4 linked regions of the Ovis aries genome follow. The protein of the gene in region 4 interacts with the protein of the main gene of each other region in a pairwise test. Links are inferred from orthologs where the notes say so. Each region holds a gene or a part of one and is shown on either strand. Other genes may lie near its edges.

Region 1 (3,753 bases), on a different chromosome or scaffold from region 4:
TTAGAATGATGACTGGGGGTTGAGGGGAGAAATGAGTTACTGTTAATGGGTACAGAATTACAGTTTAGGAAGATGAAAAAGCTCCGGAGATGGACAGTAGTGGAAACTGCACAACAACGTGAATGTACTAATGATACTTAGCTGTACACTTAAAAATGGTTAAAATAGTAAATTTTATGTATATTTTACCACATACAAAAAAAAGGCCAAAGCTGTCCTCTGTTACTCAATCTTTATTGCACTGATTAAAGGAGATCTTTTTAGATGCTATAAAAATACATACCTTTCTATAAAACAGTGCTAAGGACCCAGTTCTCTTTGGTTTGCTTATTCCAACTGGATGTACCTCTTGTGCTTTGGTCAAATGGGTCTGCTTTGGAGAAGCACCAATTAATGACTGAGCTGTAAGTGATACAGGACTCTCAACTTTGGACTCCTGAGTTGTATTCATGGAAATTGGTATCAGTGTGATCTCTCCAGCATCATTTGCAATACCTGAATGTACAAGCAAGAGTTCTTAGTTTTAGAAATGTGTCCCAGAAAAGTTATCAATACTTCTTTCTTCGCTCATTCCTCCCTCCCTCCCTCTTCTTGTTTACTATCTATCTGTGCATAGTAATGGTAGAAGAAGAAAGCCACAAAAATAGTAATTCTAGGTTATAATATTTTTGTTTTCTATTTCTGCTCTGAAACAATAATACTGTTCTCTTTGGTGGTCTAAGGGAGATGTTTTTAACCATTAAACAAAATTCTTGCTCAACGCACTCATTTGTAAAACTCAGGTAAGAAACTAACTCCTAACAGAGTAGTAAATCCATAAAATATGAAAATTCAAAAAACTGTGCAGGTATACCTCAGAGATATTAAGAGTTTGGTTCCAGAGAACCACAATAAAGTGAATATCATAATAAAATGATTCACATGAATTTTTTGGTTTCCAAGGCATATAAAAATTATGCTTTTGCTATACTGCAGTCTATGGGGTGTGTTATGGGCATTATGTTCAAAAAAGTGTATGTACCTCAGTTAAAAAATACTTTGTTGCTAAGAAGATACTAATCATCACCCAGCAACACAAGGTTGCCACAAATCCAATTTGTAGAAAAAAAAGTTATCTGTAAAGTTCAATAAAGCAAAGTGCAATAAAATGAGGAAAGCCTCTATACATTCAAAACAAAACTAAAGGGGGAGTGCTGAGGAGCTTTAGGGCAGTGTTACTATTCTGTATAACAGTATAATGGTAGATATGTGTCATTAGACATTTGCAAAATTCATAGAATGTACAACACCGAGAGTGAACACTAATGTAAACTATGGACTTAAAGTGATAATGATGTGACAATGAAGGTTCATCAGTTGTAATACATGAGCTAGTCTGGTGCAGGATACTGATGGCAAGAAAGACTCAATTTTGCCATGAACCTAAAACTACTCCTAGAGGAAAAAGAGTACAGGTCCGGGAGAAAATACAGGAGTAATAAGACCATGTGATATAATTCAATAAGACATTTCTTAAATTTTTATTCATTTCAAAAAAAAATAAATGCATCAAAATATTACCATGCAATGGGACTGTAACTTTATGTCCTGTTGTCCCTGTTACTATGGCTGTGGCCATTGTTAGAAGACTGTGCCCGGGTGAAATTGATATATTTTCAGCAGTGATGCTTGAAGAAGGAGCAATTTTCAATTTTGTTCCTTCTGTTATGATCCTGTCCATAAGCATTTCCTTTGGGGGGTCTTCCCCAAAAAGTCTTCTCTTAGCACTCCCAGCAGTAGGAGAACTGTAGCGTTCATGGACAGAAATCGGAGACAATGGTTGCATATCTAATAAAGAGAAAAATTTTAACAGTCTGACTTGTATTTCAAACAGACACAATCAGGTTTACTCACTCGTTCAACAGATGCTGAGTTGTGTTACACTGTGTGCTCAATCGCTTCAGTCGTGTCTGACTCTTTGCAACCCTATGGGCTGTAGTCTGCCAGGCTCCGCTATCCATGGGATTTTCCTGGCAAGATTTCTGGAGTGGACTGCCATGCCCTCCTCCAAGGATCTTCCCGACCCAGGGACTGAACCTGCATTTTCTGTGTCTCCTGCACTGCAGGTGGATTCTTTAACAGAGCCAACAGGAAAGCCCTAGATACTGAGTTACTATGCTAAAATAACAGCCTTTGTCCTCATGCAATATCGAATCTAGTGGGAGAGAGAAGAATGAAATAAATCTTAAAATAAAATTACAATAGCTAACCTTCCTGGTTTCTTGAACCTCTGCCTACGTTAAAGAACCAAAATATTATGGGGAAAGTAGAAGCTGAGAGGTAGAATGCAGTGACTGTTAAATTAGAAAAGTAGTCCAACTAACTTCTGTCTCCTCCCGATAAAAAGGAAAAATCAGTGATTTGGTTCACAATTTTCTCTCTTCCCACACATCTACACGTCAAACAGTTTAAGGCAATAGCTTTGGCTTTCTGATTTAGCAGACACAGAACCATCTTTTACAAACCCACTAGAAGATGAATAGAAGTGTTATGACGCTTAATTTGAGGCATTAGCGTGTAACAGACATGTCATCTATTTTCAAAACATGTTTATAAGGTATAAAAATTACCTCTGGCAATAATTTGACAACTCTGTATTTCTGAGGTAACTGGGGAAATAGTTATGGTTTAATAAAAATCTCTTCTTAATTCTGGGGGTTATGAAAGCAGCTCTGACTTGCAGCCTTAGCAAACAAGTGGGAAGTTCTATTGTAGCCCATTACTCCTTAACAGAAGTCTACCTTTATGTCTTATTTCTAAGAAAACCAATGTAGTCCTTGAAGCTAACTAGGAATGTTCAGAGCTGACATTTCAAGGGGGAAAATGCATGTTATAACCACCAAGTTAGCTGCAAACCCCTTGAAATGATTCTTTGCCTAGCACAGTACTGGAAAAGCTTCAGTAGACATTCAATAAAAATTTAGTAACTATACAAATTAATAAACTGTCTTTTCCCCACTAGAGTCAAGGCTCAATATTATTGTTTTCTAAGGATTTTCTATTATTTGATTCTCTTGCATGAACCCCTACAAGAAAATAATTTTCTTCTAATTATAAAAATAATATATTACCTGAATGCTCACATCAGTGATATTCATAAAAGCCAACAGGTAGAAATAACACAAACGCCCATCAGCTAAATTCCTACTTTCTCTTTTGTACTAGGAGTTGAACTTAATCTCACTTCACTGCAAAATCCTACTGCCATATAATAGGGAAGAACCTTTATTATAGGTTAGTCACTAAAGAGATGTTGCCTATAAGCTTAAATTATCCATAATGGCCCATCTCTGGGAACCCTGCCTCTCAGGTAATGCATATTAAGCTCAAAAACCTTTGCTCAGGGCTTCCTAGGTGGCTCAGTATTGAAAGAATCCGCCTGCCAATGAAGGAGACATAAGAGAGGCTGGTTTGATTCCTGGGTCAGGAATATCCCCTGTAGGAGGAAATGGCAACCACTCCAGTATTCTTGCCTGGATAATCCCATGGACAGAGGAGTCTGGAGAGCTACAGTCCACAGGGTCACAAAGAGTTGGACCCAAGTATTATTTAGCCATAAATAGTAATGAAGTGCTGACACATGGTACAACATATATATACCTGAAAACATGCCTGAAAAAGAACCAGTCACAAAGGTCACATATTATATAGTTCCATTTATATGAAATGTCTAGAACAGGCAAATCCATAGAGTCATAGATTAGTAGTTGCAGG
Region 2 (4,445 bases), on a different chromosome or scaffold from region 4:
AGCTCTTCTCTCTTCCCCCACCTCTACTATTTCATTTTCCCTTTAAACCCCTAGTCTTCTCCACACAAACCATGACTGAGCCTGGCTCTTTCCCCTACTGTCAGGAGTGATGGGATAAAATGTTTTCATCGTTTTCACTGATGTCTATGGCTTTAATCTATCTTTGATAATAGGCTACCCTAAGTGACCTGGGCTTCCTTGCAGTAAGGTGGCTGTGTTCAAAGGGTCAAATGAAGAGAGAGAAAAGTGACCTCATAGCAAAACAGCAGTGCCTTGGGCTCCTGGAGCAGGAAAACGTTTTATACTATCAGTTCAGTTCATTCGCTCAGTCATGTCTGACTCTTTGTGACCCCATGGACTGCAGCATGCCAGGCCTCCCTGTCCACCACCAACTCCTGGAGCTTACTCAAACTCATGTCCATTGAGTCAGTGATGCCATCCAACCATCTCATCCTCTGTTGTCCCCTTCTTCTCCTGCCTTCAATCTTTCCCAGTATCAGGATCTTTTCCAATGAGTCATCCCTTCTCATCAGATAGCCAAAGTATGGGAACTTCATCTTCAACATCAGTCCTTCCAATGAAAATTCAGGGTTGATTTCTTTTAGGATTGACTGGTTTGATCTCCTTGCAGTCCAACAGACTCTCAAGAGTCTTCTCCAACACCACAGTTCAAAAGCGTCAGTTCTTCGGTGCTCAGCTTTCTTTACGGTCCAAATCTCAAATCCATACATGACTACTGGAAATAGCTTTGACTAGATGGACTTTTGTTGCAAAATAATACTCCTACTTATTAATACTATACTCCTGTATAAACCAAAGCGGACTGGAAATAATGTGATTCATATAGATTTGAAGAGAAAGCAAAGAAAAATGAAGTTTTGAGAACAGAACAAATATGTCACTTAGGGGTAAATGTAAATTCACCCTATGGGGGGAAAATTAATTACTCCTTTAAAAAAATCAATCAATTTTTTGAAAGTCTCACATAAAATTAAAACACAGAAAAGGAGAATTCCCTGGCGGTCAACTGGTTAGGACTCTGCTTCCATTGAAAGGGGCGCTGGTTGAATCCCTGACCGGGGAAATAAGATATCACAAACCACTGCAGCTCGGACAAAAAATAAATATAGGAAAGAACTAGAATTTGTAAGAGTGATGCCAAAATTTGAATTTAGGCAGACAGGCCCTTTCTATTACCTTGGTTTTTCAGATTAGGACACGCAGGTGGTAAGTATTATTTCTGAGGACACTTTGAACACTAAACCTTCACGTGTCAACGTTTCTTAGATACTTTCTCTTCAGTACAATCCTGCTGAATGGGTCTCCCGATGAAGAGGTACTTGAAATGCAGAGAAGCCGGTTTTACCTCAGGCCAAGGGAGAGGACGCGAGATGACTTTTTTTAAATATGATTTTTGATCCCCGTGGGTCTCCGGCCTGGACTACATCTCCCACCAGGCCGTGCTCCGAACTACGGGTGCCGGCTTGAGGTCCAGCGCCGTTGGCGGCGGCGCAGTCGCCGAGAGGGCGGCCGACCGGCGGGCGCTTCGCGGTTTGAATGGCTGTGGGCCCGGGCCCTCGGCTCACCTGAGGACCTGCCGCACAGGTGTACGCTATGCCGTCGGGAGGCGACCAGTCGCCGCCGCCCCCGCCTCCCCCTCCGGCGGCGGCGGCCTCAGATGAGGAGGAGGAGGACGATGGCGAGGCGGAGGACGCCGCGCAGCCGGCCCGGTCGCCGGCCCCTCAGACCCAGCAGCGGTTTGACGAGCTGTGCAGCCGCCTGAACATGGACGAGGCGGCGCGGGCCGAGGCCTGGGAGAGCTACCGGAGCATGAGCGAGAGCTACACGCTGGAGGTGCGCCGGGGAAAGGAGACCAGCGGTTTTCGGGGCCTAGCGGTCCCGCCCCGCCGCGGGGGATGGGGGCCCTTCTCTCTCCGGCTCGGGAGCCCCGCGGGGGAGCTCCCCAGGTCAGCCCCGGCTCTCCCGGTCCCCAGCCTGGAGCGGGAAGGGAGTCCTTTCTGCCCACTTTCGTCCTGGAAACCTGGCTTTTGAAAAGCCCTTAGCTGTCCTAAAAGTGAACCCTGTCTCGGTGCTCTTCCCTCTCCGGTTCCGAAGGGGGAACAGCCTTTGCCCTGAATTAGCACCTCGAGGCTGAGGTCGTGCTGGGGTCTGATTACAAAAATACAGCCATCTGGTTGGCAGACTGAACAGGTGCAGTTGTCAGGACCGTACTCAAAAGGGATGGGGGTGTGGGGCTTGCCTGCGCTAGCACTGAAATTAACCCGATTTTAGCGTCTGCGTTTCCAGGCTTCTCCTCAAGTTCTTTGCAAGCTGTACCTAATTGCCTTTGGTCCAGGCATTGCCATTTGAGTAAATGCATTACGTTTCGGGCTGTGTTTGTGTATTTGTAAACAAAGAAGAATCTTCCCGTGAGCGGATGAAACGGGCTTTCTGCCTACCTGGATATAGACTCTTATCTGTCTCTAGGAAGTCAGGACTGCGGCGATCTTGAGGACTTATTGGTCACCCCAGACACTGCACAGGATTCTTAAGAGTCGCTGTCATCTGGACATGTTTTGTCCCTTTCTTCGGACGGGGCTTGCAATTAAGAAAAATGGCCATTCTAGCCAGTGAGGTTCAACTCTGTAGGCACCTCCCCTTTACGGGCCAATGGGAAGTGACACGGAAGTGTGTATTGTTTATCCGCTGTCTAACTGCCCCATGGGAGTGATATTTAAACTGCAAGCCATATGATTTTCTGAAGTTGTTTAATAGTTTGTGGAAAGAGTAGGGCAAATAGGCTCAGAATGGGAAGGCTAACAGATGTGTTTTAACTGTAATACGGTGTTTTTGCCTGTGTGGCACTCACTAAATTTATTCCTATTATTTCTTATTCTTGCATTAATATAATTTTAATTTAGTTACATCTAGAGTGGGGGAGGGTAGCTAGATATGTACTGGCTTTAGAACCTGACAGGCCTTGGTGACTTCGGGCAATTTACTTAACCACTCCAAACTCAGTTTTGTGATATGTCAATTTGAGGTATGTGTACCTACTTTACACAGCTGTTCTGAAGGTTAAGTAAGGTAATGTGGAATTTCTGGAGCGTAAAGCATTCATGGAGACTGCTTTAGAATTTACAAAGCTCTTTCACATGCTTAGGTGATATGACTGAATAGGTCAGGTCAGTTCAGTTCTGTTCAGTCACTCAGTTGTGTCCGACTCTTTGCGACCCCATCAATCGCAGCATGCCAGGCCTCCCTGTCCATCACCAACTCCGGAGTTCACTCATGTTATTGTTTATTTCCTAGTGGTTCCTGTGACAAAAGAGAAGGACTATTTTTGGTGATGGGCATAAGTGCCTCCAAATAAGCTCTTATTTTACCCTCAGGGTAACCTTGTAAATTAAATAGAAAAAGCATAATTATACACTTTTTATGTTTAACTCACAGTGGTTAAGTCATAGGAAGCCCGGGGTTATATAAACAAGTGACAAATAATAGATGGTTCAGTTCAGTTCAGTCGCTCAGTCGTGTCCGACTCTTTGCGACCCCATGAATCGCAGCACGCCAGGCTTCCCTGTCCGTCACCAACTCCCGGAGTTCACTCAGACTCACGTCCATCGAGTCAGTGATGCCATCCAGCCATCTCATCCTCTGTTGTCCCCTTCCCCTCCTGCCCCCCAATCCCACCCAGCACCAGTCTTTTTCCGATGAGTCAACTCTTTGCATGAGGTGGCCAAAGTACTGGAGTTTCAGCTTTAGCATCATTCCTTCCAATGAACACCCAGGACTGATCTCCTTTAGAATGGACTGGTTGGATCTCCTTGCAGTCCAAGGGACTCTCAAGAGTCTTCTCCAACGCCACAGTTCAAAAGCATCAATTCTTCGGCACTCAGCTTTCTTCACAGTCCAATTCTCACATCCATACATGACCATAGGAAAAACCATAGCCTTGACTAGACGGACCTTTGTTGGCAAAGTAATGTCTCTGCTTTTCAATATGCTGTAGGTTGGTCATAACTTTCCTTCCAAGGAGTAAGCATCTTTTAACTTCATGGCTGCAGTCACCATCTGCAGTGATTTTGGAGCCCCCAAAATAAAGTCTGCCACTGTTTCCACTGTTTCCCCATCTATCTCCCATGAAGTGATTGGGACCAGATGCCATGATCTTCATTTTCTGAATGTTGAGCTTTAAGTTAACTTTTTCACTCTCCTCTTTGACTTTGATCAAGAGGCTTTTTAGTTCCTCTTCACTTTCTGCCATAAGGGTGGTGTCATCTGCATATGTGAGGTTATTGATATTTCTCCCAGCAATCTTGATTCCAGCTTGTGTTTCTCCCAGGCCAGCGTTTCTCATGATGTACTCTGCATATAAGTTAAATAAGCAGGGTGACAATATACAGCCTTGACGTACTCCTTTTCCTATTTGGAACCAGTCTGTT
Region 3 (4,454 bases), on a different chromosome or scaffold from region 4:
GTTGAGTAGGCCAATAATGGCTAACCCCTTTTCACATTCTGGAATACACCATAATATACACAGAAAATGATAATCCATTGTATGGCCCACAGGGATAAACCCAAGAGCTACCACTTGCCTGAAGGCATTGGCTGCCTCAGCCCTGCTCAGCTGTTCCAAGGATGAGGGAATTCACGTCAGAACACAGCTGTATTTTATTCATAGCACCTCAGTTGGGAAGCTCCTAGCGGGCAACCCACAGCATCTGCCAGTGATACAAAAGCAGATACTCAAACTAGGCAATCTATTAGCATAAGTAAATACCAAGAGACAGGAGACACAGTTTCTAAGTCAATGTTTGGCCATAGTAATTCCTGCAAACTCTTTTCTGGTGTCTTTGTGCCTTGCACATGCTATTTCTCTCTTCTTGGTGTTTTCTTTAACACAACGTATTGGCTCAGACGGTAAAGCGTCTGTCTACAACGCGGGAGCCCTGGGTTCGATCCCTGGGTTGGGAAGATCCTCTGGAAAAGGAAATGGCAATCCACTCCAGTACTATTGCCTGGAAAATCCCATGGACAGAGGAGCCTGGTAGGCTACAGTCCATGGGGTTGCAAAGAGTCGGACACGACTGAGCGACTTCACTTCACTAATGGATAAGTAGAGTCACATATATCTCAGTTCAAAACCTCTACCACCCATCGGCTGTGTGTGTTTGTGTGTGTGTGTGTGTGTGTGTAAGTAACTCAGTCGTATCTGATTCTTTGCGACCCCATGGACTATAGCCTGTCAGTCCATGGAATTCTCCAGGCCAGAATACTGGAGTACTGGGCAAATGAATTAACTCCTCTGAGCCTGTCTTCCCTATCCAAAGTGTAATACGACTACAACTCATTTTAAAGGGCTGTTTCTGAGGATTCGGTAAGATAATGAGATAAAATGGCCAGAACAATCCCCTGTGCACATAGTAAGTCCTCCTTAGATGTGAAGTCCGTCTGGCAAACTTCTACTCAAATGCCCCTGCTCCTCTGAAGATGTCCTTAAGGCGTTTCGATGGTGCTTCCTGGTTTTACGCTACTATTAAAACCGCGCAGCACCTTGTCATCAGTTCTTTGCCCGCAGCCCCCACCCCTCTTCCCTCAAAGAACTCTCAAAAGGCCAGTTTCGTCGTCCCGTACTTGGTCTCCGCTGGTAGTGGGCAAAACCCAGCTCCTCATAGGTGTCCCAGAGGCAGTTTGTTTTTGTTTTGGCTGACTTCGCTTAACGGATTGGGCGGGAGGAGCGCGGGCGAGCGGGAGGGCGCCGCCCACGGAGGAGAGGGGCGTGCCCGCCCCGGGTGCGCTCGCCCGATACTCCCCGGCGGGGGCCTCGGCCGCAGCCCCGGACCCACCCGGCTATAGCGAGGGAGCCCGCGCGCACCCACCGGGCCGGGTAGCGCCCTTACCCGGCCACCCACGCCCGCAGGGGCGAGTTTCGAGGCGAGGCAGGCTGAGGCGGCGGCGGCGGCCGCTGCCTCCGGGCGGGCGCCTGGGTTGCAGGCCCGGGGCTGCCCGCCCGCCCGGCGCGCGCCTCGCCTCGCCTCGCCCAGCACCCCGGTGCCCTCCCGACGCCGGCGGGCCCGCGAGCCTCGCGGACGTGACGCCGCGGGCGGAAGTGACGTTTTCCCGCGGTTGGACGCGGCGCTCGGTTGCCGGGCGGGGGAGGGCCGGCCCGGTTTTTTTCTCAGGGGAACGTTCAAATTATTTTTGTAACGGGAGTCGGCCGAGGACGGGGCGTGCCCGAGGTGCGCGCGTCCTCTCCCTTCTCCGGCCCCACTCCAGCACCCGCCGGCGCCTGCCCTGCGAGCGCGTCATGCCGCCCAAAACCCCCCGGAGAGCAGCCGCCGCCGCCGCCGCCGCCGCGGAGCCCCCGCCGCCGCCGCCGCCCCCTGAGGAGGACCCCGAGCAGGACAGCGGCTCCGAGGACCTGCCTCTGGCCAGGTGAGCGGGCCGAGCCACCGGCGGCGGGCGGCGAGCGGGGAGGGCGCCCCGAGGCTGCGTCGGCGGCAGCCGCGGCGTCTAGGCGGGGGCGCGTCCCCGCGGGGCGCCGGTCCCGGCGGGAGGACGGTCCCCCCTCTACCACCCCTCGCGGCGGAGCGCCGGGAGGGAGCTGACAGGGGTCTGGGTGCGGGCGCCGCCTGGGAAGGGCGGCCGGGAGGGGGGTCTCGGCTCCAGCTTGACAGGTGTCGGGCGGGTGGGGCTCGGGTCGCTGAGCGAAGTGACAGGTGCCGCCTTTGCTCCGCGAGACGGCCCTGCGCATCCGGCGGGTGTTTCGAGACCCCATCACACGCAAAAGAGGAAAAAAAGAAAAGAACTAACTGGTGTTTGCTGGATAGGTTTTTTTCCCCGTTGAGATTTGTAGTCCTCCAGTGGTCTTTTGACTTTCTCTTTTGGTCTCTAGCGATGCAACAGTTGGAAGTGCCCCCCTCCCCCCACCGCCCCCGGGCGCGCAGCTGTATCTGAAGCCCAGTCCTGGGAGAGACAGTCAGAAAAGCCTTGGGTGCAGCGGCAGAGATGCCCGCGGACGTGAAGGGCAGGGTCCTGGGTGTCGGTTACCCCCCAGGAAGCTCGGCTGAGGCGCCTTGTGGCGTTCTCTTAGAAGGGGCTTTTCGGTCTTGGGGATTCATGGCCATAGGTAGTGACTGGTGGAACGTAACTCTTTAGAAAGAACTCGTACCTGGGCAAAAATATTGTGAGACGTTTAGCCCAAGAGCTTAAAAGTTCCTGAACTTTTCTCTTGTTTTCTAGAACTCTTCTTGCGTATTTTCGTTGGCTTCAGCGTGCCTCGTTATTTCTTCCATTTTGCCTTTCGGCTTTGAGCCAGCAAGGATCCTGGTGTCCTTGTTTTTTTTTGTTTTGTTTTGTTTTGTTTCGTTTGTTGGAGTACAAAACGAGTGTTTTTGTGCTCACGTGGAATTATTTTTCTTCTCGTAAGTGGATTCTAAATTTTAAGCAAGTCTACGATAATGCAGTGGAACTTTGACAGGAAGATAATGTATTGCAACATCTTATTTTTCTTGATTGTGATGCTTTATGGTTAGAACCAAAAATTGAACGAGTATAATTATCCATTATTATTGTCAGAGTTGGCCCTGCTTTGAGACTGCACATCAATTACAGGGAAATGGGACTCCTTTCTGTCTCCCTCCCACAGTCCTAGCCCATCAGCAGGCCCTATTTCTCTCACCTTCCCCTGCGCTAAGAGAATTCGGGACAAATTGTTAAAGATTGGGAAAAGCTTTTGGAAATGGCTTGTGAAAGGCTATTAGAAATTCATATATGACTGTCTTATCAATTAAAAATCATTCTCACTAGTGGGAAAAAAAAAGAAAGCCCAGGGATGTTCTAGGAGAAGACATTAGTTTCTGATTAAACTCTGATATGTCCAGTATTTTCCAGTTTCCTTTTGGTAAGAGCAGTGAAGTCTACTGCAAAGAACCCTGTGTTATCCACAGAGCTCGGAAGCATTCTTGAATATTGTGGAGTAACCAGAAATACTGAAGTTCTGGCCAGCACCTGGGAAAAGAAAGTCTTTTTTCCTTCTATTTTCCAGCATTTCATTTTATATACTTTAAATGATGAAACTATCACAAATTCTTTAAGTCAGAACCATGCAAGATAAAGTCTGTTCTTGATCTATCCTTACCCATAAAATGTGTCCTTATGGGCTATCAAACTACTGGTTAACTACTTAACAAAGATAGAACCACTGCCTGGCAGTCTGAAGCTGAGAACTTTACCTGGGGTGGGTTCAGGGCCCAGTCCAATTGCATTTCCAGTGATGGAGCCCATGCCTACTTTGAGAGTTGAGAGTTTACTTAAGGGAAACAGCACACCATCTTCATTCTTGAGATAACCAAAAGTTAATTATGTTTCAGAGAAGGGTTGGCAGTCTGGAATAGTGCTCAAGGGCAAGGATTATAGAGTTAGATTATTGGGTTTCTATCAGGGTTTCTGACATACTGTTTGTGATTTCAAGTGAGTGCTTTAACTTCTCTGATTTGGTATTTATCTGTAAAACAGGGTAAGAGGACTTACCTAATAGGCTGATGTGGGGATTCAGTCTACCTTCATCTAAGGTACTTTGTCTGGGATCATAATAAATACTAAAAAATTATTAGCGATTCCTTGTACTATTATTATTAGAGGTCAAGTAGACATTAACTGATTGAAAAAGAATTAGCCAAGAAGAGTTTTTTGTCTGCCTGTCTTGGTTAAGGAAAATCAGAAAGAAAGCTTGAATTTAATCATCATCTAAGAACTACTAGTAAGTAGATTAAATAAAACACTGTGAAGGGTAGACTGCATTTTAGCAAAAGTTAATGATATTGAATTGGTTTTGTAATATTATCTATTGCTTTCCTCTTGCTGTTAACCAACCCAACTTTCCCAGTTTTAGCTCTTGTACTTACTTTAAGCTACTTTGCTGCTCTGAAG
Region 4 (4,431 bases):
TAAGGTCCAGTGTAAACTTCAGATTATACTTTAGCAAGAATGTTGTAGAATCACTCCATCAGTAGATAGGAAAGACTATTTCTAAATGTGCAAGTATAATGAAAGAGTAAGAATAAATCTCATATGATCTCCCTTAATACAAACCAATTTCTGTCAAAATGTGATCTTGTGTACAAATGAACTTAATTACAAAATAGAAACAGACTCAGAACAAACTAACAGTTACCAGGGTGGAAGACTGAGGGGATAGGATAGCTAGGGACTTTGGGATGGACATGTACACTTTGCAGTATTTAAAATGGATAACTAACAAAGACCTACTGTACAGCGCAGGGAAATCTGCTTAACATTCTATGGCAGCTTGGATGGGAGGGGAGTTTGGGGGAGAATGGATACATGTATATGTATAGCTGAGTCACACTGCTGTCCACCTGAAACTATCACATTGTTGATTGGTTATGTTGTTATTGTTTAGTCACTAAGTTGTGTCTGATTCTTTGTGACCCCATGGACTGTAGCCTGCCAGGCTCCTCTGTCCGTGAAATTTTCCTGGCAAGAATATTAGAATTGATTGCCGTTTCCTTTTCTAGGGATCTTCCTGACCCAGGGATTGAATCCGCATCTCCTGCATTGCAAGCAGATTTACCACTGAGCCACTGGGGAAGCCCATGAAAAGTTAAAACAACTTGTGATCTTGGAAGTGATGTTGCTTACTTCCTCCCCCCAAAGGACCAACAGACAAGCTTCACTGGGAACCTGGACATTTTCCCCATCTCTTACCAAATTTGTCCTTTTTCGCCATTGTAACCCTGGACCTGGCACAGTCTGGCACATAGTAGTTATCAAGAATTTGCATTCCACTGTTGACTATCCAAAGAAAATCCTCTCTAAGTTGTCCCAGTACATAGAACAGGAGTTTTTCCAACTTTAGACTGGAATGGTATGAGGCTCTTTGAGTACAAGGAAGGTAACACCCCAAGCAAATGTTGGGTCCACCCACAGCTTGTTTTCCTCCCTCTAGAAATGCTTCCTTCAAACTCTCAGGGCCACTGCCCTCGTGGGGAATACAAACACCCCCTCAAGGCTGAGCTAGACCAAGTGGACCGGTGGAAAGGCCAGGCATTATGGATTCTTCTTCACTGTAATCTCTTTCTAGAGGCTTTAGTCCGAAGAGCCTTGAAGTAAATTTTAAAAAAGGATTACCTACCTCTGAGGATGAGATATACTCAAGTTATCTACAATGAGAGGTTTGTAACAATGGACTCTTGCTGTACCTGACACAGATCTTCCCCTCCCACTGGGACTCTGAATTATTTTGCTGCAGGCTACAACATTCTGAGCAGTATGTTGGGAGTTGACGGGAGGTGGGGATAACTCACCTGTATGAGCTTAGCAGAGCTGAGCCGCTGCAGCTTGTTGGGCTAGCCTTTGATGCAGACTGGTTGGACAGGTTCTGGATCTACAGAAGAACCGGTCTGACTGGCCTGTTGTGCCAACATATTCTGGTTTGATTCCATGTTCCACAGACGGCAGAAACCTGCCCAGCCAGTTAAATGAAAGGCAGATTAGGTTATCCATTGCACACCTTATATAGCTTAGATGCAGCAGAACTCTTCCACACAGCAGTGGTGTCTAGCAGACTCTAGCATGGTCCAGAGAGGTGTCTCCCACTGATTACTGTGTAAGTTCATAGCTTCAGGGAAAGTCCGCAGTGAAACACCTGCTTTTGACCAAGAGCAGAAGTTTTCTAAATAAATTGAAGGGTAAGTTAATATATTTTTTTATCTTTCTCAATTTTCTATGTACTTTTAGAAGGTTAAGAAATTAAGTTTAAGATGATATCTTTTTAACATGGCAATACCTGCATTGCCTCTTTTATATAAATTTGCTTAAATGTTGTTTTATAGTACTTGCATACATATATTTTCATTGATTTGTTTGAATAAAGATTACTTGGCATATAATATACTTTTCTATACTTTTTTGGTAAGTCATGCATGGCTATGGTCATTAAGAAAACTGGGTTGAATAATTTTGCTAAATATATTTCACCTATTAATGTAATGATTCATCTTAAGCCATCTACTCCTTTGATAATATACTATTATGTTTTACAGGCTGTTGCTATATGGTAACATTTTATATGGCAAATCTAATTGTGGATAAAATAATGACTGCCTTTTTAAGGCATTAAAAAAAAAAACAGTGTTATTCTTCTTGGTGATCCTCAGCACATTAAAAGAACAATTCACAGCAAGTGAGGAGTGCGAAAAACAAAGACTGTGGAATCTGGTAACTGATTAACTATTGGAGCTCAAAAGCACTTGCTGAGCTGAATAGAAAGGAATGAAGACAGGTTTTGTCATGTCTATTAGGTCTGAAAACCTTTTTAGGTTAAAGAATATTTAGATCTTCTTTTAGTTTATATTTTAAAATAATTATTTTACCTCTCTTTTTCATTGATCCAATTAATTTATCTTAGTAATTTGTGTTATTTAAAATGAAAGTTACCAATCCCTTTAGATTTATGTTGGCATACCAACCTACTCCTTAGTTATTAGTATTAGATTGAACTGAATGCACACATCTTCTGGGCAATTTAATATAACAGCTGAAATATGAACTTTATTGTAGAATTAAAAATTACTTTAAAAAATAGATTTAAATACTTTCCTCTCAAAGACTATCTGCAGATCATCATATGACTCACTTTGAACTGAGCAAGACTGATGCATTCTTTTCACTGTCCCTTTAGAGTCTTCACTTTGTCATTATTTTCAAATTCAAAGGCTTTAAGAGTTTCCTCAAGATGATACTAAAGAATTTTTTTTTTAAGTGAGTAAATGTTCAGATGAGATTCAGTTTTTGCAGGGAAACCTTTTAGATGCTTGCCTACTCCAAGGCAATTCTGCATAAAGCTTCTGATATTCAGCTGAATTTATAAAAAGCTATGTAATGTTGAATCTGCAAAAGGAATGTGCTGATTCAGCAAAGCAAAAAATTAATTTTATTCAGCATAAACTATAGTATGACAATTTTTGAAGAAAATATGGATCAAAAATTTCAGTTGATTGAATTTTTCTCTTTAAAATTAGTTTTCAGGCTAAATATAGATATATGTCAATAGCGTATACTTACACTGTTTCTGGTAAATACCTAGTAACTTAAAATTTTTAAATCTTACTATATTTATAATACAGAGCTTATTCTTTAAAGATAAACGTGATTTGGGATTCCACCTTATTTACTAGGTATTTTTTATGTTTATGGTTTTGAGGAAAGCTATTTAGGAAGTAGATATATATTTCATACAAAATTTGTGGGTAAAATTTCAAGTCTAATGCTACATTTTGGAGAGGGAGTCTTCAGTTTTCACTTAATGAAATTTTTAGTTTCAAATCTATGATTTCCTATTAAATATGACTTTTATATATTTTCCATAAATTGATTCCTTTAAAATATTGATACATTGTGATAACTTTGATTAAAATTAAGGATATACAGATTTATCAATCAAATTAGGAATCTGTGTATGCATCTATATTTTATATAGCCCTGCATTATCTGAGGTCCTAGGTCAAAAACTGTTCTAGTCATTTAATAACCTTTTTACTCTCTAAGTCTAGCTGGGGATGCATTTCTTTATCTTTACTGCTGGCCACACAATTTCACACAATGACTCTTCTTGTCAACCATGCTAGCTTTCTTAACACCTATAACCTTCTTCTTTCCTGAATGTATTCATGGGTTTCCTATCAAAAGCGCTTAGAATCATGACATTTCTGAGCTAGAAGGACTCTTTAAGAATAACTGATGAATTCACTTTTTAGTTGAATGAAAAGCCCCAAAATGTAGCTGAATAACATAGTCTAAGGGTAGAGGTGGTACTAGACCATCCCAGCTTCCTGATACCAGCCCAGACTAATATTTTTTCAGCACTCTACAATGATTCTTCTGAATACTACATAAAATCTACTCTGTGTTCTAAAAGATTCATAAAAAGGTAAAATTGTATAAATTATGTTAAGGAGTATCTGCTGAACCAAGAAACTCTTTGCTTTTGTATTTTAATCTATTTAATTACTGCCCCTGAACTTTTTTGGTATAGTAGTCAAATTTATGGGATTGCCATTGGTAAGCAAGATGACTACCTCTTCAAACCCTAATCTCATAAGACCAACACAAAATGTTGTATCAAACTGATGAGTATCTCATATTACTCCATCTTTATCCAGATTATTTGTGGATAGTGCTGTCATTTTTTAACTTATTATTACTTTATACTGTTTCAACTGTTTATTTTCTTAGTATGTGTATAAGTATATATGTATTTTTGTATTGTTTTAGTCACTCTTACATGGATACAGTTTAGGATTTGCCTAAGAAGGTTGTACTTCTAAAATTTGGTTAGAACTGACAAAAACATTCCAA

The links.
Region 1: the proteins of RBBP8 (region 4) and RBL1 interact in a two-hybrid assay, tested with the Homo sapiens proteins (2 studies listed by BioGRID and IntAct). The link is inferred for Ovis aries from reciprocal best matches to the Homo sapiens genes RBBP8 and RBL1.
Region 2: the proteins of RBBP8 (region 4) and RBL2 interact in binary tests that used the Homo sapiens proteins (3 or more experiments, as listed by UniProt). The link is inferred for Ovis aries from reciprocal best matches to the Homo sapiens genes RBBP8 and RBL2.
Region 3: the proteins of RBBP8 (region 4) and RB1 interact in a two-hybrid assay, tested with the Homo sapiens proteins (2 studies listed by BioGRID). The link is inferred for Ovis aries from reciprocal best matches to the Homo sapiens genes RBBP8 and RB1.

What each region holds. Positions count from the first base shown.
Region 1 is NC_056066.1:66,021,731-66,025,483, forward strand, and holds part of RBL1 (retinoblastoma-like protein 1), read right to left. Parts: intron 1,828-3,753; coding exon 1,561-1,827; intron 496-1,560; coding exon 284-495; intron 1-283. UniProt on the Homo sapiens protein: Key regulator of entry into cell division. Directly involved in heterochromatin formation by maintaining overall chromatin structure and, in particular, that of constitutive heterochromatin by stabilizing histone methylation.
Region 2 is NC_056067.1:21,291,156-21,295,600, forward strand, and holds the start of RBL2 (retinoblastoma-like protein 2), read left to right. Parts: upstream 1-1,511; 5' UTR 1,512-1,614; coding exon 1,615-1,854; intron 1,855-4,445. UniProt on the Homo sapiens protein: Key regulator of entry into cell division. Directly involved in heterochromatin formation by maintaining overall chromatin structure and, in particular, that of constitutive heterochromatin by stabilizing histone methylation.
Region 3 is NC_056063.1:18,457,722-18,462,175, forward strand, and holds the start of RB1 (retinoblastoma-associated protein), read left to right. Parts: upstream 1-1,628; 5' UTR 1,629-1,830; coding exon 1,831-1,958; intron 1,959-4,454. UniProt on the Homo sapiens protein: Tumor suppressor that is a key regulator of the G1/S transition of the cell cycle. The hypophosphorylated form binds transcription regulators of the E2F family, preventing transcription of E2F-responsive genes.
Region 4 is NC_056076.1:34,018,630-34,023,060, reverse strand, and holds the start of RBBP8 (DNA endonuclease RBBP8), read left to right. Parts: upstream 1-1,597; 5' UTR 1,598-1,763; intron 1,764-4,431. UniProt on the Homo sapiens protein: Endonuclease that cooperates with the MRE11-RAD50-NBN (MRN) complex in DNA-end resection, the first step of double-strand break (DSB) repair through the homologous recombination (HR) pathway.